Daphnia pulex: one gene and its partners. The main gene of each other region encodes a partner of the protein of the gene in region 2 in a complex. Links are inferred from orthologs where the notes say so. Each region holds a gene or a part of one and is shown on either strand. Other genes may lie near its edges.

Evidence for each region.
Region 1: mediator of RNA polymerase II transcription subunit 13-like (region 2) and mediator of RNA polymerase II transcription subunit 12-like share a complex: the UniProt entries of both Drosophila melanogaster proteins name them as parts of the cdk8 module of the Mediator complex. The link is inferred for Daphnia pulex from reciprocal best matches to the Drosophila melanogaster genes skd and kto.
Region 3: mediator of RNA polymerase II transcription subunit 13-like (region 2) and cyclin-C-like share a complex: the UniProt entries of both Drosophila melanogaster proteins name them as parts of the cdk8 module of the Mediator complex. The link is inferred for Daphnia pulex from reciprocal best matches to the Drosophila melanogaster genes skd and CycC.
Region 4: mediator of RNA polymerase II transcription subunit 13-like (region 2) and cyclin-dependent kinase 8-like share a complex: the UniProt entries of both Drosophila melanogaster proteins name them as parts of the cdk8 module of the Mediator complex. The link is inferred for Daphnia pulex from reciprocal best matches to the Drosophila melanogaster genes skd and Cdk8.

The regions. Positions count from the first base shown.
Region 1 is NC_060025.1:6,925,786-6,931,693, forward strand, and holds the start of mediator of RNA polymerase II transcription subunit 12-like, read right to left. Parts: upstream 3,582-5,908; 5' UTR 3,420-3,581; coding exon 3,330-3,419; intron 3,193-3,329; coding exon 3,085-3,192; intron 3,000-3,084; coding exon 2,808-2,999; intron 2,745-2,807; coding exon 2,585-2,744; intron 2,522-2,584; coding exon 2,310-2,521; intron 2,254-2,309; coding exon 2,089-2,253; intron 2,019-2,088; coding exon 1,749-2,018; intron 1,659-1,748; coding exon 1,542-1,658; intron 1,474-1,541; coding exon 1,367-1,473; intron 1,301-1,366; coding exon 997-1,300; intron 936-996; coding exon 558-935; intron 427-557; coding exon 307-426; intron 192-306; coding exon 1-191. Other genes in the region: chromatin accessibility complex protein 1-like, read left to right, coding at 3,915-4,049, 4,127-4,247, 4,309-4,385; metallo-beta-lactamase domain-containing protein 1-like, read left to right, coding at 4,792-4,921, 4,989-5,201, 5,298-5,411, 5,479-5,671, 5,829-5,886. UniProt on the Drosophila melanogaster protein: Component of the Mediator complex, a coactivator involved in regulated gene transcription of nearly all RNA polymerase II-dependent genes.
Region 2 is NC_060023.1:11,956,988-11,962,683, reverse strand, and holds the end of mediator of RNA polymerase II transcription subunit 13-like, read right to left. Parts: coding exon 4,576-5,696; intron 4,498-4,575; coding exon 4,220-4,497; intron 4,140-4,219; coding exon 3,481-4,139; intron 3,392-3,480; coding exon 3,259-3,391; 3' UTR 1,133-3,258; downstream 1-1,132. Other genes in the region: 4-hydroxyphenylpyruvate dioxygenase-like, read left to right, coding at 1-3, 75-267, 334-453, 517-639, 695-811, 871-945. UniProt on the Drosophila melanogaster protein: Component of the Mediator complex, a coactivator involved in the regulated transcription of nearly all RNA polymerase II-dependent genes.
Region 3 is NC_060017.1:5,571,969-5,577,241, forward strand, and holds cyclin-C-like, read right to left. Parts: upstream 2,657-5,273; 5' UTR 2,529-2,656; coding exon 2,497-2,528; intron 2,439-2,496; coding exon 2,332-2,438; intron 2,264-2,331; coding exon 2,057-2,263; intron 1,997-2,056; coding exon 1,873-1,996; intron 1,804-1,872; coding exon 1,679-1,803; intron 1,605-1,678; coding exon 1,406-1,604; intron 1,302-1,405; coding exon 1,229-1,301; 3' UTR 1,135-1,228; downstream 1-1,134. Other genes in the region: folate receptor alpha-like, read left to right, coding at 1-104, 170-358, 650-865, 922-1,113; adenosine receptor A2b-like, read right to left, coding at 3,528-3,860, 4,608-4,721, 5,087-5,273. UniProt on the Drosophila melanogaster protein: Component of the Mediator complex, a coactivator involved in regulated gene transcription of nearly all RNA polymerase II-dependent genes.
Region 4 is NC_060023.1:3,949,056-3,955,078, reverse strand, and holds cyclin-dependent kinase 8-like, read left to right. Parts: upstream 1-2,258; 5' UTR 2,259-2,470; coding exon 2,471-2,631; intron 2,632-2,694; coding exon 2,695-2,881; intron 2,882-2,961; coding exon 2,962-3,102; intron 3,103-3,170; coding exon 3,171-3,360; intron 3,361-3,425; coding exon 3,426-3,540; intron 3,541-3,600; coding exon 3,601-3,699; intron 3,700-3,796; coding exon 3,797-3,869; intron 3,870-3,938; coding exon 3,939-4,036; intron 4,037-4,103; coding exon 4,104-4,188; intron 4,189-4,301; coding exon 4,302-4,775; 3' UTR 4,776-4,868; downstream 4,869-6,023. Other genes in the region: uncharacterized protein LOC124198281, read left to right, coding at 1-354, 414-654, 713-1,053, 1,126-1,887; protein disabled-like, read right to left, coding at 5,465-6,023. UniProt on the Drosophila melanogaster protein: Component of the Mediator complex, a coactivator involved in regulated gene transcription of nearly all RNA polymerase II-dependent genes.

The DNA of each region.
Region 1 (5,908 bases), on a different chromosome or scaffold from region 2:
CCTACAAAGGCTCCGACTCCTCCAGCTAGATTAGTCCCTTCCGTTTGGACATCAATCGCTAGCTTCTTGTGAAAAAGGCGACACATTTCCTTTGAGACTTTTTTAACAGCATGGCGAGATTCTTCGCGTGCTTTTCCAACTCCGTACAGCAGAATGTGTCGTTGATTGCAGTCGTGGATTAAACTATCATCCTAAGTAGAAAAGATAAGACGACTTTAGGATACACAAATAACCAATAAGTAATCAATAATTTAAATATAGTTCGAATATTCGTGCAAGTTCTTAGATCAATATTATGTATATTACCTGAGGCAAAGGAAAATGAGTGGTAAACAGGAGGTGTCTTGATTGACGTTTACCCTCTTTCTCTCCTCGACCAGTTTCAAGTGTGTTATGACTTTCATCTTTGGGAGAATCAGGCGTGTCCTGAGTGAAAGTAATAAAAACAAACATCAAATAAAACCTCTGAAAAATACTTCTTTAAATATCATAGCTAGTAAATAATGCCGAAAGTGGAATTTGATTACACTAATATAAATACAAGAAAAAATACCAACCATGACAATTTGTTGTTCTTCTTTGATATGTTGCAACAACTTCCCAAGATCGTCGTCTATTTTACTGTCATCCATTTCACAGCGTAAATCATTCATACATTGGAATCCCGTTAAACTACTCATTCCGCTGCTTGGAGTGCCAGCAAAATGACCCGAATTTGACGGAGCAACCGTAGCTCCACTATGGCCAGGTGTAACTGAGAGAAGATCACCTCGCGAAATCAAAGTACACATGTACATGTCATGAGAGAACACGTCATGCTTGATGAGTTCATAGTATAAATGAACCAAAGACGCAAAAACTGTTCGATTGTTGTGCCCGGAACTTGATTCATTGAGCACTGGTGCTTCGGAGTCAAGAAATTTCATTAAAAATCCCTAAGAAATCAACATTAATTTTAGAAACATTAAGAAAAACCAAAATAACAATCAAGCAAACCTGATAAACGGGTTGGACGGCGGAAACGGCAGCCAAATTTTCGTCGGTATCATTGTCTTCGCCTCCAACAGCATCACTTTCTGTTAAAGCCACCAAATCCATTTGTCTCTTTTCTAGAAGCAGAGCAGCTGCAATCGCGCGGTGTTCTCCATATCGTTGATCACTAACTGCCCATTGACACAACAGGCGAACAAACGGTTCATCCTGTTTGGCGAATTGGCCAATTTGCTCTACAGTTGCAGGATCAACATTTCCTTTGTTTCCCCCAATTGCCGGAAATATTTTGACGTACAGTGAATCGATACTGAAATGAATATTGATTGAAAGGTCACAAACAGGATGTAAGGGTACGACTATTAAGTGGTCTCACCTGTTGGTCAAGTCTACACGGTCGAAACTATGAAGATCCAATGCTTCGAGAGCCTGAAGCACTCGTGCTGTTATAATCCCAGTCTGTGGCTGATTTTGTTGTTTCTGCTATTGGATGAAATCATCTCATTAAAATTTTAAATGAAAATTATTTCAATATCTAGAATTGGACTTACTTTAACACTACAATTGATTTCGGAGTGATGAATCAGTTTATCTAAAGGCCATCGTGATTCGGCAGCCTTACTACGCTGTTTGATGGCATTCTCAGCTTCTCGAAGCATCTGACGGACCTAGAATAAAAGAATATAGTACGATTAAAGTTTGTCATGTTATAGTGACAAGAAAAATGTAATCCTAGAATTTAGGTCACAAGTCCTTACGTGATCGTTTGAAAAACGAGGAGCCATAGGTAATGCTGACGGAGGAATAGGCAAATGATCTAAAGGGGATCCAACCAAATGAGATGATATTTTTCCTTCTCCAGAATGGTTCCACACTAACGCCGTCGGACAATGAAGAACGACTGCTTGAATGATGGCAGACATTTGAAGAAGAACACTCCTATGCTGCCCACAATTTCCCACATCTAACGAAACTGATCCTTCGCTGATTTGATCGTTCGATAGAAGCGGTGAAATTCTTCTACACACCTGATTTAACGAAACCAATTACAATACATTTATTTCAAGATTTGTATATAACTTGGTCATCCAACCTTACCTGAAAAACAAGCTTTCGACTCAGAATTTCACACTGTGTAAATTCATCTACATACTGCAAGATTAATGGAATAATAAACTTGAGAAGACCATCATCACAAGTTTTACATTTTTCAAGCATGTCCAACTGCCATTGTAAGAAATCTTGGCATTCAAGAAGTCCCTCCTGAAAGACAAATGAAATTGCAAAAACGAAAAAATAAAATTTTATCTCCACAATACCTCAAACATCACTTTGCATAATTGCTGGCAATAATTAAATTGGCGAAGAGCAAGCTTCTGTTCATCACTCATCAAAGGGCTACCATTATGATATGCAGTAGCATTTGAAGCATATGCAGCAGAAGTTCCTCCACTATTTGTGGATTTTTGATAGAAATCTTGTAGTTTCACAATTTGTTCCTTTATGAACCGGACCAATGTACTAGTCCACTCTATATAACAAAAAAATGATTATAATTGCAGATAAAATAAATTATTTAAATCTTGGAAACTACCTTGAGAGGAATCTGGAACTTGACGCTTTTTCATTTTGGCTTCAGAAATAGCCACTGAATACGCAGATGTCATCTTGATTAACCATATTGCTCTAGACATAGGAACCTGATATTCACTTAGTTGGATAAATATTTCTTCCTTCTTGTTGAATATTGGCACCTTGTAAAAGGAATCAAAAGTTGGTATTTTTATTTGTTTAAGATATTCTGAGTATAATATTACTCTTTTTCCTAGATTCATCAAAGGTTTGCTGCCTGCTAAGTCTTTGAACCAAGACTCAATGAATGCCTTGGACTTTGGAGTAACATTATGGAAATTTTCTTTGGGATTGATGAGTTGGCGTTTTCGGCCAGTATCAGGCAATGTGTTGATTTCTTGTTTTTTTGTAAGCACTCCATTAATAAAAGTTTGGACCTAACATTAGGAAAGAATAATAAAATGGTTGTCAGCCTAGAACAATCTATGAACATCATACTAATTACAGTAAATTGTAGTTTACCTTTGATAAAGAAAAGTTGTGATTTTTAGCAGATCCATACTCTTCAGACTGATTAAGATTGGGTGTATGAGAAAATCCTTGTTTCACATTGACAGGAGTCAGTTCATCCTAAAAATAGTATTCCAAATGTTAATGAAAGGAAAACATAAAGAATTATCCTTTTTTTTAAATGAAACTGCCTTTTGGCAACTAGCATTTTCGTACTTGGGCTCATAAAAAAGCTGCAGCTACATTCAAAATATTACCTCTTTTTGTTTGGGATCCTGTGGGTAAACATCGGGCGGTCCTAATCTCAATTTTTTAAGAGGACGATTTTCCATTGATAAACAAGCCATAACTAGCTCTAAAATCAATTTCCACGCAGAAGTATAAATTTGTTACCACACATCAATGTTTACACAACACAAGTACACAAGTAATCAAATACTTCTAAATTCTTATCAAGAGTTCCGATTTTCAGACCATGGTTCAGACAGATATATCAGTGTGATGGCTTTGCTACAACGTTGCATTTCTATAATTTGCTGTTACGGCACACATAAAGAATAATTGGAGATGAATGTATTTGAATTTTGGACTAATCGTAGTCTAGCAACTGAATTTAGAAATAGTTATTAATACAATTGGTATCAATTTATTATGAACAAATTAATGACAAAATATGCTCCTTGCATTTTCAATTTTCATTGATCACATCTTGGCAGTGCTGTAAAAGTCAGCAGACTATATTTTGAACATTTCTATTTTGGCATTTTGTTAGAAATTGTAGTGGCGCGGAATTGCTGAATTGATTGAAGTGAAGGACTAAATCAAGTGAAATTAAATTAAGAATGTCTTCCTTTAAACCGAAATTAGGAGACGGCTCCATAATATTACCACAAGCACGAGTAAAAATGATTATGAAGAGTTCCCCAGATACTGAGAGCATATCCACTGACGCATTATACTTTGTAACAAAAGCAACGGTATTTTTAGTTTGTTTCCAGATAATTTTTTCATCTTATTTTTCTCATCTTCATCTAAAATGTTTCAATGTTTTAAGGAGTTTTTTGTAGAACATTTAGCCCAAGAGATTTATGAAAGTACCAAAAAGTCAAATGAGCTTACTTACAAAGGTCTAGCTGACATTGTTCAAAAAAGTGATTCTATGCAGTTTCTCAAAGGTACTGTGTTACTAAATGGTATTAGTAAAATTTTAATTTATTATTATTATTGTGTTTTCAGATATGGTTCCTAAGAAAATAACATACAAGGAATATCAAGAAATTCTGAAGGAAAAAGGAAATGGTGACTTGTTTTGAGTGTTTATTCAAATTCATTTCTGTCTTCAACATTACTTGCTCATATTTATAAGTGTTCCACTAAGGAAAGTTCAATTTCAAATACATTGATTGAACCCATTGTTCCTTTACGATTCACATCAACTAAGATAGTTTGGTGGTTCAATAGACTGCAGTTAATGTACTGTTGTAATTAATTAATTGCGGTTTTATGTGACCATTTGTTAGCCTAAACGGGTGTGTCCGTATTTTTTTCTCCCTCAATTTAGCGTACGTTATTTTCAAACCACAGCTGCTGCAATAAGCAAAATGGCAAAGTTCAGCGTGTCACCCATAGATGGCGAAAAAAGCAGTCTAAAAAAACAAAACATTTGATTTTGATTTTTGACATTTTGACACTAGAAGGGCTACTCTAATTTCTAAAAGGATGGCGAACTCCAACCGTGTTACAGTAATACATACTGGATATTCTTCTACCACAATTGAGGAAAAAGACGAAAATCTTCCTTTCGTCCGTGCAAATTGCTCATGCGTATTGGTTACCGGCAGTAAAAATAGTAACAAACAGCACAATCCAAATATGTTCGCAATAACGTGATAACAGTTAATAAATTATTTTTTCAGTAATTGTTGATACAATGACACCTTGGGATACCAATCTCATTTTACTATCTTTAGAGGCGAATGGGTTAACCCCTGATGACATCAACTATGTCATATCTACTCATGGTCATTCGGATCACACTGGCAACAACAATTTGTTTCTGAAAGCTAAACATATAGTTGGCTATTGCATTTCTGTTAAAGACAAATATTTTTTACATCCTTTTGATAAAGGTAAATTCTGTGGTTTCCTTTAATTGTGTACTTTATTACTTTAGCTTCAAACAAACATTAATTTTTTTTACATACAAAATGTATGATGTGCTGTAGGTCTTCCATTTGAAATTGATGAGGGTATTACAGTAATACCTACACCTGGACACACAGCAGATGATATCAGTGTTGTTATTAAAACTGAAGATATGGGTACAGTAGTCATTGCAGGTAAAATTTCTTGCTAGCTATATGTTATCAATAATGACATTTTATTTCAATTTTGTCTATTAATTAGGTGATATTTTTGAACGGGAAGAAGACATTGAACAACCTGAGATATGGAGAAGTTGCGGGAGTGTAAATCCTGAACAGCAAGAACATTCGCGAGCTGTTATTGCAAATATTGCAGATTACATTGTCCCAGGCCATGGTCCAATTTTTAAAGTCACTGATGGAATGAAGAAAAAATTGTCACAAAATTTGAGCAGGTGTAACCAATGATTGAAATCCCTATTAAAAGTGATTCTTAAACTATACAGAGGTAGCTTTTCCGTTTTGATTGTGATATTAATATCAGAATTTGAATTTGGTAACACTTTTCGACGTACCAAGGCCTAAAACTTGTCTTGCATTTTCTATTTCAAGTGAACTTCATGTCTATCGCTACTCTCTGGCGCAGAAGTACGTAGAAGTAGGAGTTTAATTTATTGGCTCCGGTTCTTCGG
Region 2 (5,696 bases):
ACTGTAAACATTTTCAAATGAATTTCCTTTTGAGATTAATATTTATATTACTAAATGATTTTGTATTATTATAGACCTACGATCGATTTGAATTTCATCGATCACGTTGTGGGAAATCAACCGGATTTGCAAATGGAGTCGGCAGCTGAATGGTACACTCAAAATTTAATGTTTCATCGATTCTGGTCGGTTGACGACTCTCAGATTCACACGCAATACTCGGCCCTACGTTCCATCGTCGTCACCAATTACGAGGAAACCATCAAGGTAATCATGCACATCTTTTTAAAAAAGGAGATGGTGGTCGTTAATTATTTTTCCTGGCCACTCAAGATGCCCATCAACGAACCGGCCAACGGACTGAGAAAGAGCCAAATTCAGGAATACACCGACTACTACGGAGGCGCCGGAGTGCAGCACATTGCCCTCAACACTTCCGACATCATCACGGCTGTACCGACTAACATTTTCTTTGTGTTTTTGTCAATTATGAAAATTAAACGTTTCTATTTTAAGATTCGCAACTTGAGGAAGCGCGGCACTCAGTTCCTCACCGTCCCCGCCGCCTACTACGATCAACTCCGCGTGAAATTGGCCGAATCCCCCGTGAAAATCAAGGAAGACTTGAGTGTCCTTCAGGTTCGAATTTCTATTGATCTGAAATGTGTTGCAAAGTAATTAATTGTCTGAACAGGAGCTCAACATTTTGGTGGATTACGACGACAATGGCTACCTGTTGCAATTATTCACCAAACCCATGCAAGATCGACCTACCTTGTTCTTGGAGGTCATCCAGCGTAACAACCACCAGGTAACGCGCATATTTTCTTTACTAGCATCAACAAAATAAAAAACAAATTATTTTCTCAGGGTTTCGGAGCGGGCAATTTCAAGGCTCTTTTCGAAGCCATCGAGTTGGATCAAGACGCCCGCGGTAATCTGTAAAAAAAAGTGTTTTGCGGTCGCCAAAATCTTCGTAGTCTGGAAATTCCTGTAAAAGTAGTGATTTTTTTTCTTAATACTCTTCCGCTAACTCAACTGCTGTACTCTCCAATCAACCTGTTAATGACTCGGATTGACACAAATATACTCACGAAATTTTGAAAACGGACGGGGCTGTTTTTGGCGTTGGTTACTGTATAAAAGTTACTTGTATTCGCGCAAGCAGGTGTGTGTTTTTTTCTTTTCGCTGACGGAATATCAAAAGAGAGAGAATAATAAATGGATGAAAATAAAAATGGGCGTGGGGGAAAAGATTGAGGACTTAAAGAGTTCAGTTTCTTTTGGACATAATAGTATAAATCAATAATATTAATTCATATTACAAATTCAATTTTTTGTATAATAGCGCAATCGCCAATTGATCATCGGGCCAAAGTTTTCAATTTTCACTTTTTGCCCGACAACCGTCAGGCCATCAAAATTTCAAAGAAAAACAATTCAATTATGTGTGTGTGTGGAGACACGGACAATTTTGAGAGGTGAGAAACAAGCTTACAAGGAGGTATGGGAGTTAATGTGAATCAGGGGGGAGAAGGGGGACACACACGAAATCAACAGGATTTTATTATAAGTCTTGTTTTTATTGAATGGTTGTTGTTTGTGTGTTGTTGTGGTTTGTTAAGTTGCTGTTTCTGTTTTGTACAAAATGCATATCGGATGAGGAGTGTGTGGTTCATTCTTTCCTTCCCAGTTACACGGCGACAAAAATGGACGATCAGAGTTTCGATTTGACACACACCTCCACAAAAGGGGAAATCAAAAGGAAAACAAAATTCAATCGAAGGAGAGAGGAACTGACCAAATTCAAGAAAAAAAAAAGAAAAACATGTTACCACCAAGAGAAGATGAAGAATGACGGTCTAGTTTTTAGAATCTCCGGTCACTTGTCGTTCGATAAGATTTTGAAAAAGGGAAGGAAAAAGGATACAATCATAAAATAAGTCGCCCACCCCATCCTACTACATTTCTCTCTCGACACACAAAAGGAAAAATTAAGGTAATGACAATTGATGAATAGAGGATGTTGATTTGAGTGTTGACACTAGAGGAGTTAAGCGGACAGGACAAAGAGAAGAAGAATGTACAGCACAGGGGAGGGCTAGGAAACAACAACAACAGACGAGATGTCACCTTCGTTTTTTTCTTACTCACAATCAATTGCTCTAAGTCAGGCAGGGCTGTGTTCCGTCATTCACTTGAAATATATAAGATTTTATTATTATCATCATTCTCTTCTTTCTTCTAGAGGCCCTGCAGAGACAAAACAACCAAACACAATAAATCCCAACAAACTGCCTGGGTTTTTTTTTTTGTTGCTGGTTTGTCCCCCAAACTAATTGATTAATTTTCGCTCACAAAACGGCCAGTATTGCTGCTGTTTCGCTGGAAATATTTCGAGAATAGTTTTTTAAGAAATTTAAAAAAAAAAGGAGGGAGATAGAGGTAAAGAGGAGAAATGCGTATAAATGAAATCCATCCATCCAAAAAGAAAATTAAACCGAAAGAAATTACAGGAAGAGACGAAAAAAAAAATAATTTCGGAGCAGAATTACAAACGGTATGTGGCCCATATGAACGCTTTGGAAATTGAACTGTCCTGTACAAAAAACATCACCATCACAAAGCTGATTACATAATAAGATATTGTTCCTTTGTCTTTTGCTTTTTTTTTTAAGTTTTTCAAGATAGAAAAAAAGGGGGGGGGATGGTACAACAACACCGTGAAAGGAGGAGGAACACAATATATACCCCCGACGCTAACAAATCCATCGCAAATTTTTTTTGTAAAGATTATTATGTAATTAATTATTCATCTTTTTTTTTTCTTTCTTTTTTTGTTGGTGTTTTTACTTTTTGCACTAGAAAAATCGTCAACGAATATGAGAAGGGAACAAGAAAGACCCAACAATCGAACGAACCAACAGAAAAAAAAGAAAAAAACATTATGTAGAGCCATTATGTAATATTATACTATTTTTTTAGTTTTTTTAGTTTTGTTTTTGTCATGACGGATGGTGGCGTGTTGTGTTTGTGTGTGAGTGTGAGGGGGTGAGGCGAGTAGGATATTGCGAAGTGCATACACCAGCACAGGGCATCGATTCTTTTTTAAGTTTCTTTTTCTTTTAAATAATAATATCGTAATTATTTCTTCTTCTGTTTCTGTCAAATTAAGAAATTCCGACACGGGGAAAACAAATTTTCTTTTTTTTTTCAGAGGGGTTGTAAATGATTTTGTTGTTGTGTTTGTTGTTGTTTTCAGACTAAAGCAGCCAAGGCGTGGTAGAGCTGCACCAAGAGCTGGATGTGAATGGGGAGGCAAGAGCGGCGATCACGAGACTTGGGATCGAGCGACAGCCAAGAGAGGGCGTTGTAACCTTCCATGACGTACCTTTGGGGTTTCCAATCGAAATCAATAATCAATACCAACGTGACCCACGACCTCATCCCAATTTATAAAAAGAAAGATTCGTTTCGTACCTGAGGACATCCGTCGTGACTTGCGAGTCGAGCGGATGCACCTTTGACGAGTTGTTGACTTGCTGTTGCTGCTGCTGCAGGAGGATGTCGTCCGAATTCTGCTGGACGGCGTGGTTGTGCAAGTGAAGTGCGCACTTGAGGAAAGCCGGGCAGGCACGCGCCAAATGAGGGCACGAAGACCAGAACCAGGACGGCATGTCGCCCGTTGGCGCCGTCGACACGTAATAGCCGAGGGCCAGTGGCTGCTGGAGCAGCGTGCCCACTTCCTCCTGCTCCGCTCGCGGACTCTGCCGCCCGGAACCGCCCGCGTGGTGGTGTCCGCCCATGCCCGACGGCGACTCGGGATTCATGTTGGAGCGCATGCCGCCACGGCCGGGCGAACCTCCACCGCCGCCACCGTGCGAAGCTCCAGGTGACCGAGAAGTTCCGCAACCGCCCATGTTGTTCATCCCGCCGTTGTTGCCGCCCGTTATGTCCGACGTCAAATCGTCGGTGCCGTCATTGACTTGGTCCGTTTCCGGCCACGTCATGAAAATGTCGTCAAAGCCGCTCATCCCCTCGAATCCGTCGCCCATGTCGTCGTTGAGGGCAGAGAGCAGATCGTCATCTCCCAAATCGGGTCCGTTGATGTTTTCCTCGTGGAACGTCGTCTGAGGAGACTGCGTAAGAAAAAAGAATAAACAAGTTAGAATAAAAAAAGAAACACCTTTCCTTCAGGCGAGCAGAAACGACGACTTACTCGAGTGGTAGCTGACGTGGGAAAAACGAGGATGTGAGTGCAAGAGGCGTCCTCGGGTGTCGACAGGTGACTGTTGGCTGACTGCTGACCGAAACGCTCGTCAGGAGTCACTTGATCCGGCATCATGCGGAAGTGAGAGTCCGGCTCGAGCGAGACCAGACAGGCCGACACTAAAGTGGGCGCCTGCGAAGGGAACACGAGCGAACACTGGCCGCAAATGTCGGCCAAATGTCGCGAGGCTCTCAACAGATTTTTGCGACTCAGCAGGGCGCTCCAACCTATTGTGGCGAAAACACATAAAAGATTGACATTTTAAAAATCCATCCGATTGGTGAAATTAAAAATTAGATTGTTACTTTTCAATTCGCCGTGGCCCATTCGACCTACGCGGCCAATGACGAGCCTCCACGGATGAACTCCGGTGGAAATGACGCCCAGAATGAAATCCATGAGCCGCTGGAGCCCGAACCGCCTGACTGAGACTCGTTTCCGCTTGGTTCGGTTTGGGACGTCGATGCCGATGGTGCAGCTGTCAACCAGCTCGCCGCGCTCGTCCGTGCAGGCGGCAATCAGCCAGCGCTGATCTTCTGATAAGCAGTAGCTGACGTAGAGGACGGAATACTTGTCGGGCCGGGCCAAGAATGACAGTGGGCCACTGCCGGGCCCTCCGTTGGTAGACACGCCTGGATCGAGGTCGCAGACCGTCCTGTCTTTGGTCGGCGCCAGGACGTAGGCCGGGATGTAGACCCTGTAAGGAGCACGATTCCTCTCGTCTTTGGCTTTGAGGAACGTGTCAGAGGCGGCAGCCGGACCGAATCCCGTCAGCGATTTGACGTTCGACGGCTGTGAGATTAATTTCTTGCACTGCGAAAAGACGTTGAGGGCCAGCGATCGGAGCGAATCGTAGCGAGAGGCGCCGTTCACGTCTTTGCCCAGTTGGAGGATGGCGTCGGCGGAAATCAATTGCAGCGACACGTTGAGCTGGACCGTCTCCGAAAGGAGCGACAACATTTGGTGATAGCAACGCAAAAGACCCAACGCCGTCAACCGCCCGAGGTCCAAATTGTCCGAGCCGAAACTGAACGGATCCACGATGTAAATGACGATGGAAGGAGGTTCGACCTCCTCGTCATCGGCCGCCGATCCGTCGGTAGCACCGGAAGCCCCGTGACCCGACGTTCCATCGGCACCGTCTTCCGTTTTGGGGGAAGTCGGCTTACCGTCCGATGACGTCATGCCGGACGATGGTGTCGACGTGTGATGGACGCCGAATGTGGAGGAACCCTGAAGAGGCGTCGATCCGCCCGGATTCGGCGGTCCCATGCCGCTCTGAGTGGCCGAGCCGAAATCGCCCGGATGAATGGGCGTGGTGGATGGAGGCGCCATGGGCGACGGGACGGCGTTCATGGGTCGATTGGATGACGGTGGCGCGGGTGGATCGAGCAGAGTTCGATCCATCGGCATATTAATGAGAGTC
Region 3 (5,273 bases), on a different chromosome or scaffold from region 2:
CTGGTCAAATCAGTGTGAAGGATAAGAGACAGTTAGTGAATTCTTGCATCGATGGTAACAATCACAAACGAGAACCTGGCCCAGAAGATTCTTTGCACAAACAGGTAATATTTGTCTTACATATCTTGAATAATATTTTATCGATCGCCACTTTTTCGGTTCTTTTCAGTGCCTACCATGGAAAAACAATTCTTGTTGCACAGGAAACACGACAGTTCATGCTCATGGAGGGAAAATGTATGGCTTCAACTACAACCACTGTCCCAACAGAAAAATGTCGAGCAAATGTCTAGAACATTTTGTTCAGGATTTATGCTTTTATGAATGCTCACCTAATGTTGGACCATGGATGCAAACGGTGGGTTCCATGAAACTCATGGAAAAAATGTGTTCTCTCTTTAACATGCTTATGCAAGCTATAGGAATATAGTCAGTTCATTTTTCCTAAAGATTCACTCTGAAAACAATAGGCAGAATTAATTTTCTCAGCTGTTACATAATAAATAAGACATTGTTGTCTGTAAGCTTTGTAATTTTAGAAACACAGATCCACCTAGAGGCCTAGATGCTAGTTTTATATAACCAGCAGCATTTGTTTTGAATGTTTTAAACTTGTAGAAAATAATTGTATATTTTCTTTTTTATCTAGGTAAACATGAAAATGCGCAGAGAAAGATTCTTGGACGTGCCTCTTTGCGCCACTGATTGTGATGATTGGTTCAATGCTTGCAAGGATGATTACACATGTACAGACAATTGGACATTAAACTTCAAATGGATTAATGGGACCAATCACTGCCGACCTGAATCCGAATGTCGCACCTTTTCCGATATCTTTCAAAACTCATCTAATTTTTGTGAAAGGGTAAACAGTATTAACATTCTCCCTAGAATTTTGATTACATTTTTATTTTCTAAAAGGTTTGGGATCATTCATGGAAGTATACCAATAATTCAGAGCCCTGCATGCGTATTTGGTTTGACGGTGATCAAGGCAATCCTAACGAAAATATTGCACGATGGAAAATCCAACAAAGTAACAGCGCGGAAACGTTTTCAACGAAGCCGCTTACATACGTACTCCCCGCCTTGATGTTGTTTCTAAACTACTAGAATAGAGAAATTGCGTTCTCATTTTCATTGTAAAAGAAAGCATGTATTAAATAGTTGATCATAACACAGTTTTTTTTGTGTTTTTCAGTTTATAAAATGAGAATGATAATGATAATCAATTTGTCACACCCATGGACTGGTCATTTGTGCCCTGTATTCCATCCTGTGATTGTGCTGACGAGGGAGGCCTACATAGTTATCACAGTGTATTAAACAATTTTAAAATTTTATTCTTTGCAATGTGATCAAATAAGAAAGAATTGGGATCTAAATAGGAAATTGAATATCCTACCGACTTGGCTGCGTTTTGGGTTTAGGCATTTTGGCCAACAAACCCTGAATTTCTTTTTTCTCGTCGTAGGTCTTGTAGAGATCGTACAGAGCCAGAATTTGACGCGTTATTTCTTGAATTTTATCCGTATCGACGGCAATTTCCGCAAACCAATTTTTCCCGTCTTTCTGAAGCACAACACAAGCCATTTGCATGGCAGCTAATACAGAAGAAAAGAAAGAAATAAATGAAGTAGAGTTCACATGATAAAAGACAAAAATAATTCAAGCTAACCCAATGCAATTTGGTAAGGGGGGTACAGAAGAGATATATCAGTTCTTAGGCTATCATTGACTATTTTCCATGACAATCCAAGAAGATCTTCTTGCCCAATGTCTTGAACAAATTGGACAAGTGGTCTGTGTGGAAATTTCAAATGAAAACATTATTACATTATGCTTTAAATTTTCTCAGAAACAGTTGATCACCTGTAAGGTTGGTAAACAACTAGACAGCAATCCATGTTTTCCAATAAATAAAATTCACACTCAAGGATGTGTTGTGCTCTGTAGGGAAACTCTTGAGGATAGGCATAGTTGAACTTTGACTTGACTGTTTAAGAAGTTGATTGAATCACAATAACAAATTTTGTCTTATGAAAAGATCACATACCAACTGATTGACATGTTGTGATTAATCTGTTGTTCGAAATTACACCAAACTCTTCGACTTTTGAAGCCAACAGAATGCATGTGGGGGCAAGTAGCAGTGGATCAATGCATTTCAAGGAATTCCTGGCATAAAACCGCTTGAAGTAAACTGTGGCAGTCGCTATGACTTGTTGTTTGAGTTTCAAATGCTCACCAAGAACCTGGATGACTAACATGAGAAAGACACTTTTATTATTCAACATTTAGGAGATGATTCCATAGTTAATATAAACTTACAGTTACTAAAGAAGATGAAGAGTTTTTGATAGTCTTCCTCCGTGACGATGGCGAAATCCCCTTGGCGTTCTCGAACCAAATCAGAAGGGTCTAGTAGCCACTGCTGACTAATAATAAAGTGAGTAATTAAATGTGAATCAAAACGTTAGACAAATAAAAACTAACCAATGCGAGCTTTGCCAGAAATTCCCAGCCATACTCTGCGGCCGAGGTTTAACTTGTTTACTGTGTGTAAACGATGCTCGACACTGTTAGGTTAGACGACGTAAGGCGGCGCTTATTAAAATGTCGCCGTGCCCGGATTTTCTAACATGGAAGCCTTTTCGCACCCGAGCACGCCAATAAACGAAAGAAAAGAAAACATCGTGATTTACTGATTTAGTGATTTGTGAACGATCGTATTCGTGATTTTGTTCTGTTTTTTTTAAAGTTTTATTAGCGTTCAACAAAACAAAACATTGCATTCCATTTGGTTTTAATTAATTAATTGTAAACTTATGACTTACTGTATGACTGTTTTTGAGTGATTAGGATGATGACGCAATGAGTTACTTTGGTTCGACGTAAATAAACATGATTTAATATTTTTGAGACTCATTACACAGCGTATTTGTTTACATATTATTGTCGCCTAACGAAACGTTCATAACACAATGTTTGTTACATTTTACAAAGTTACAAACGATCCATGAATAATTGAGTATGTAAATTTGGCTACTAAACACGAAGGAATTTGACCACTTGTCCGTTTTACAACAACGAGAATCATGAGTACATCAGGCCGAAAAGAAATGCGTTGCAAAAAAATAAGAAAATACAAAATGCGGAATGGACCATTGAGTAAGAAAACAGAGATGATACAAAATATGTGTGGGCTATATGACGATATGGACAGTCAGAGAGAGTTTGAATCCCGTGGCATCGGCACGAACGAAAAATACAATCAACATTCAATGGAGCCTATACACAAGACATGAAAATATTTTAATATCATCAACACAACCGATGGGGGGAAAAAATCATGTGACATATCTCCCGCATCAGTCAACAGCAACGATGGACAGGCCAAGAAGCAGAGGCATCCTGCATGAATAAAGAGTGTAGCCCCCGTGAGAATTGACTTGAACGATTCTTGGCATGCGTCCGGCGTAACGTGAAAAAACAAAAACTATTTCAAAACGTGCCGTCGTGAATTTTTACAAGTCCGTGACTTGTTGCTGATCCGGCGGGATCGTTCGTTGTAGGTAGTCGTCGTTGGAGAGGTCGGTGGAGTTGATTTGCCACTCGATAGGTGGCAGCTCCAGCTGATAGATTTTACTGAGTCGCTGTCGATCGTGCGGCTGGATGGATCCAGCTCTCGATCCGATTCCGGTGGCCATTTCCACCGAGCTGAGCGAGCGCTCCATCGCCCACTTGGAGCAGGGGACGTAGCGGAGCAAACGGGCGAAAGCCAGTCGGAAATCGCGGTTCTTCCATCCGTAAATAAATGGATTCAGGGCTGATTTCCCGAAATACAAAATCATGACAACCTGCCGAAAACAAACGGCAACATTGAGGAAAAGAGTTGCGTGTCGGTTACACAACAACAGCTCGGATAAAGAAAATTAAACTGTTTAGCATGTTTAGATCCGGGTTGAGCCGGTTGTAAAATTATCACGGTTTTTTCCCTATTGTTATACATGTTGTTTACAGGGGATTTTAAATTTTGCCACGCACCCATCTAAACGTAACAAATTCAAAACTGAGAGCGAATTTGAACGAAATGTCGTAATTTGAGAAAAAACCCCAAAACAAATCAAATAAAAAATATATTTTTTAAATTCCTTGACTGCTATTAAAATTTAAAAGTGGTTGATGAAACTCAACCGCGTTTCCCGTTTTATGCGGAAATGTCAAACATTTTTTCAAAATTTTCGACCCTCAAACAAAAAAATAGAATTGATCGTTTCTTTTAAAAAACGAACGAACGAACCGGGACGATAAAAACTGAAGGAGCTGCAAGTTATTATCTTTTCGCCTTAAATTTCCCGAAACTGTCACAGATAAAAAAAAGGGAAAATGGGAGCGACTGAATAAGTGATGGACGTATTATGAAGCGGGCCAGTGAACTATGTAATCTGTTGTTTGCATTCAACAACAACGAAAGCGAAAAAGGGAAAAGTTCCAACCGTCTATCTAAAAATATCTGAGAGAGTTTCACTAGAAAATTGGCGTGCATTATCGTCCCATATTTATTTGAGCGGTTTTTCTGGCTAATTCAAATGGTCATAGTTTACCTTTTTGGCTCGGCTGAGTGCCGTCTGGTCGATTTGTTCGTTGTGTCGGTATCGGATGCCAACGACTATCAGATAGGGAAGAGTGCTCACGATGTTGACTCCAAAGATCAACACCTGGGCGTGTAACAGCGTCGTCGTCCAATCGAATTCCAAGAAAAAGAACAAAAACGAGAGTCACTGTGCGCACTTGACTGCGCGATTAGTTTTCATATATGTACAGCCCATATAACTTTACGGACACAGCACTCGTGTTAATCTTTATACAAGGGAGTTGATCAACAATAGTCGTAAAAAACGACCAAACGATCTGCTATGGCTTGTTTGGAAATATATGAAATAGAGTCATCATAGCTCAGATAATAAGCGCGGGCCTTTTAAAAAATATAAGAAAAATGGGCCATCACGGGTTTTTTTTTCTGTCAGCCGCCGTATTTTTATGACGCACAAGTTTGAGATCTTAAATAATGTGATATAAATACCATCATGAGGGCCGTTTTGGCTTCTTGATGCAAGTGGTGCCGGTTCTGGCGCCAAGCCTCTCTGAAAATGTGGCCGTAGAGGAATGTGGTGACGATGAGCGAGAACGCCAAATGGGCGCAGAAGAGAATGGCGTAATTGGCGGCCGAAACGTAGACCAGATCGCACTCGGTCATGACCGTCAAATCC
Region 4 (6,023 bases), about 8.0 Mb from region 2:
GGTTTGGCAGACCATGTCCTAGTGTTTGTGTTCAGACCATTTTATAAAGGCTGGATTCAACCGTTTGCGTGGTTTGGAACAAAGGGTGGAGCATCTGGTACAGTTTTGCTAGAACTAGTTACGAAAAGCATTGCGCGTCTGTTTCAAGCTGGAGCTATAACGAAAGCAAGCGTATGTGATGGGTTTTCCACAAACAAAACGGTGTATTCCCATTTTGGTGTTTCTGGAACGGAAGATGGAGTTAATTCCATGTTACACCCTATGGATCCTTCAGTGAAAATTCATTGCCTCCACGATGTTCCTCATTTGTTGAAATGCACAAGAAACCATATGCTTGAACATAAATTAGTTCAGGTAACTTATTTTTCTTAATGTTGTTTTACTTAATTTGTAATTCTAAATATTATTTGTAGTTCCAGGGACACAACGTAAATTTTTATTCGTATGAACATCTACTGGAAGCCCAGAAAGGTTTGCAATTGATGTTATGCTGCCGATTAACTGAAGCGCACGTAAAACCAAACAATTTTCAAAAAATGAACGTCAGACTAGCTGCTCAAACATTTTCGGAACGAAATGCTCTTGCTTTTAAAATCTACCGTGAAATGCCAGCCTTTACTGCAAATGAAAAACGGCTGAAAAAGTTGTTTGAAGGTATTTTCCATAATTAATCAATCAATTTAAAATGCTATTGATTATTACATATTGTTAGGTACTGAACACATTGAGCGGCTTACAAAGACTGTGAATGACAATTTTGACGTACTCAACGGTAGACATATCAAAGAAGGAATCACTCCCAATAACTGGTGGATAAATGCACATGATGAAAAAGTGAAAGGCAGGAAACAAATACTTGAAGCCATGTTAGCAGTTCTAGCAGTAACTGAGAGGATTTATGAAAAGGACAAAAACCGAAAAATGTTTTGTTCCTTGACAACCGTACATGGATGGAGAATGACTATAAGAAGCGTTATTGCGTTAACTGAAGAAATGTTTAACGCAGGCTATACAGTAGTCCTCACTGGAAAAATGAATCAAGATCCAGTAGAGGTGAAACGAATTTTAATCGTGATTATCATTTCTATTGCAATTACTCAATAACTTTTTTTCTAATTCATACAGAGACTGTTCGGCATTGTACGTGGTGTTGATGCTCATCCCACGGTGACTTCTTTTCAACAAATCATTCGCTATGTGTCTCTTGGAGCAAGATTATCCACGATTATACAAGGAGCAAACGTTGACAATGTTGAGCAGATGAACATCCTAGTAACAATGTCAAAATGCCTTAAACGTCAAGCCAAGGAAAGTGACATTCGAGCTTCCGACCTGAGATCAGTATTAGAAGATAAACTACTGAAGGAAATAACAATTCGGTTTGTTGATAAAATTAACGAACCAGCGAATTCTAATTTCGTCAAAGATATTTTGATTTATGATTTGTGTGGTTATATGATTCACACAAGGAAGAGTATGTCAAAATGTCCTGACTGTTACAAATCCCTTCGCTGCGAGGAACTGGAGTTGCCAGAAGACTTCACTGCAGATCATTATACTCGAATGCGCAATAAGGGGTTTTTGATCTTTGTCACTGTAAATATGTTCCAAACATTCAGAGTGATAGAAAAGGTAATTGAGGGTCATTTTGAGCCAATTGGCCAAATGTATGAAGAGGAGTCATTTCAAGAGTGCATGGAGAAAATTTCAACTTGTCATTTGGTTCCCATTTTTTGTGACATTCATCGAGATGAAAAGTTACCTTACCTCATAAGAGAATATGTGGGAGTTAGATATTATTTTGAATCAAAAAGACTAAAAAATCTTTTGTTAGCTGAAGCTTCAGCAAATGTAAAAAAAAACAAAAAATTAGCAAAACTTGCGTAGGTACCTCTGTATTTATGAAACATTGTATGCAAGAAAATGATTCGTTTTAATAAATACCCATTTGTAACTACACTAGAATAAAATTCAAAGTAACTGAAAACTAAACATACCATGTCATTACATATTTTTTTTACACAAACAAACAATAAAATGTAAGAATGTGAGAACACTTAGAAAAATAGGACACTTATATATGACTTAGAGGTTTGACAGTTGGATACTTCTACCTTTTTATTATTGTTCACTTCTTGTAGAAAAGTAAGCTGTGATTGGTCAATGAGTTTTTCATAGACCCTTCCTGATTGGCTGGCTTCACGTAGTACCTGACACACTCACTAGAGGCGCTCATCAATTTTTCCAAATCGGACCACGGTTACCCTGAAACCGGGATAGGGAAGCCAACACGGCCGAGAACCGACCAGGTATCTATTGCTCTGCCTTTTATTTGAATTTTTAGTTTTTTCCGTCTGCTCTTCATTTCCTCCATCTGGCAAACGTCATTACAGTATAACAAACCAAAAATCGTCAACAAGAAAAAATATCAACATTACACAAATTGATTTGCATTCATGCAATAACTAGCATGGATTACGATTTTAAAGTTCGAACGAGCGTAGAACGTACCAAAGTAGAAGATCTGTTTGAATATGAAGGAAGGAAGATTGGTCGTGGTACTTACGGTCATGTGTATAAAGCGAAAAGAAAGGAAACATTCGCCACTTCGGATATTAATAAACTAATTAGGTTTGATATTCTCTAAGCACGAGAAATTGTGTAAGTTCAATATAATTATGTTTTATTTTATAGTGCTGACCAAAAGGAATATGCATTAAAGCAAATTGAAGGCACTGGTCTTTCCATGTCAGCTTGTCGTGAAATAGCCTTGCTCAGGGAGTTAAAGCATCCTAATGTGATCAATCTTCAACGAGTATTTCTTTCCCATACTGATCGCAAAGTTTGGCTTCTTTTTGATTATGCAGAACATGACTTATGGGTTTGTTAAAATCTTCCTTCTAAAGTTGTTTTGGTTCATGATCTTTTAACTTATTATATTTGTCACAAACCAAAATTTAGCACATCATTAAATTCCACAGAGCAGCCAAAGCAAATAAAAAGGCAGTTTACACTCCTAAAGCCATGGTAAAATCTTTGCTATATCAAATCTTGGATGGGATTCACTACTTGCATTCTAACTGGATCCTTCATCGTGATTTGGTATTGAGAATTATCTGCTTTTGTTAATATTTTCATCAACAAATAGATTTTTGCTTTCTTTTCCTTAGAAACCAGCCAACATCTTAGTCATGGGAGAAGGAATTGAAAGGGGAAGAGTTAAAATTGCCGACATGGGTTTTGCTCGTTTGTTTAATTCACCACTGAAACCTTTGGCTGATTTGGACCCTGTAGTTGTGACTTTCTGGTATCGAGCACCAGAACTGCTTTTAGGAGCTAGGCACTACACAAAAGCTATTGGTAAAACATTAGTAGTTTGTGTGGTGTTTCACAATTCTATATCATTGCTTTACAATTTATTTTAGATATTTGGGCTATTGGATGTATTTTTGCTGAACTACTAACATCAGAACCAATTTTTCATTGTCGTCAAGAAGACATTAAAACTTCCAATCCCTATCATCACGATCAACTCGATCGGTATGAAAATTTGCTCTTCGTGAGTGTCAGAAATGAATTATTTATTACATTTCCTTGTAGAATTTTCAACGTAATGGGATTTCCACATGACAAGGACTGGGAAGATATTAAAAAAATGCCTGAACATCCTACACTTCTCAAGGATTTTAAACGTAACAAGTAAGTGTTTATTTCCATTTGTTTGTTTACTTCTTAATATTAACTCCATGTTCAAAATGCATCTTTTGTTTATTTTTTTTTTATTTTTTTCTTTTAGCTATCAAACATGTTCCTTGATGAAGTATATGGACCGGTATAAAATTAAAGCCGATACTAAAGCTTTTCATTTGGTAATCGATATTTAAAATTAAAAGTTGCGTTTTTTTCTCTCCTTTTTTGACTGATTAATTTGCTTCAAGCTTTCCAAACTTTTAATGATGGATCCTACTAAAAGATTCACCTCAGAATCTGCCATGGCTGATCCTTACTTTCAGGAAGATCCTTTACCTACTTCAGAGTAAACTTAAAATAAGAATCATAATGTAATATAAGAATCAGTTTTGATCAGATTTGTGTTTCATTAGCGTATTTGCTGGTTGTCCTATTCCGTACCCGAAGCGAGAATTTTTGAGTGACGAAGAGCAAGATGACAAATCTGATAGCAGCAAGGTAATAATAAATTGTTCTTTTGATTTTATTTTATCTAGTCTTTTTCGTCTCCCTTGTTTTGGTTTTCTTTCATTTGCGTTTTATTTGGCATTTGGGTACACTTTTGAATTCAGATGATTGCTAAGAATCCACAGGGTCAGAATACTGCAGCGAATGCCCCCAATGACCAGTCTCATGGTCCTAATGCAAAACGAGTACGGTTGGCTCCCCCACATCCTGGAAACAATGTTGGTGGATCCAACATGTCAGGAGGCCCACCAGATTTCCATGGTCAACATGTTGGACAGCAACCCCATGTACAGCAGCATCCTTCTGCACAGCAACAACAACAACAGCAGCAGCAGCAACAACAACAGCAACAACAGCAGCAGCAACAACAACAACAGCAGCAGCAGCAGCAACAACAGCAACAGCAACATGCTTCACAATCGGGTAATTCTAATCATGGCCATGGCCATCACCCTCAGCATCCGTCACAACAAGGCAACATGCAAGGAGGTATGCATCCGAACTATTCCAATCATCCTGGCCATCCTCAACAACAGTCGCATCCTCAGCAAAACAACTCATTTAATCAAAGATTCTGATGCTCTTTTCATCTATTACTAGCAACTTATTGTATTTTGTCTTCATTTTGAATTCGTAAAATAAAATAAAATGCGTACATTTTCATACTAAAACGTTTAATAATGCATTACCGCTGGAAATGAAAAAGGTACATAGAATAAAAGATACACGATGGATCGTGTTTTGATTCCAGGAATCAAAGGAAAATTGCTGTAAACTATGATCATGTTTGACGAAGGGAGTAACTGCCAAATAGCGAAAACAAGTGGAGGCTGTGTATGGGTACTTGGGTAGAGCAAAAAAAAGCGAGAAAAAGAAACAATATTGAGTCCTTGATTCATGTTCAGCAAAAAAAATTAAAAAAATTAAAAGAAGGGTAAAATGGTAAGTGGCTACGAAACGAAAATACAATCACAAATAAAAAATAAGATGACTAGCCCGTCACATTTTCTATGCCAATTGACATCATTTGGCATCAACAAAGATGCACCAAGAGATTTGGTGAACTATTATTCTGCCACACTTTCAGGTCCACTTTCCATGACTGGTCATAAATACAGATATGACAGAAAATGTTACTTGGATGCTTTCTTTTTTGTTATTGTTGGGGACAGGGGATGGCAGAAACGACAAAGAAATTTTTAGCGCAAGAGAAAAGATAGTACGTCAATCCGCAATAGACAAGGTTCCGACTTTTTAAATGATAGTTTTAAAGAGTAAATTCATCGTCAACGTCATCAAATTGAATGTTATCGTCGAAGGGTTGAACCCACGCAAAAGGGTCTTCGACGATCGTATTAAAAACATGAACAGATGGTTGTTTAACCATTTGAGAATTAGAAGGTGCAGGGGAAGAAGCTTTAGCTGGAGGCAGATCCGGTTGGAAGAAGTCGTCATCAAAGGGATCGTCTACTCGTGAAAAGATGTTTACTGATGTCGATTTCTTGACCAACTGATCTCCTTTGGTCTTTAGCTGATGATCCGGATCCTTAGCCTCACTAAAAGCTGAACTAAAATCGACAGCAAACGAATCTGAAACGGGTGGAATATTTGGTTCGGTAACCATTTTATCTGAGGAAAGGTCAAAATCTGCAAACGAATCACCAAATCCTTCAACTGGGTTGGCAGGGAAGCGTGCTTCAAAAGCAGCAAACTTGTCAGCCAAATCATCAATGGCTTCGTTATCTTCTTTCTCGATGACTTCTATTCTTTCTGATTCATCTTCCTCCTCCTCTTCATCTGCAGGCGTTTCAGAAAAATTGTAATCT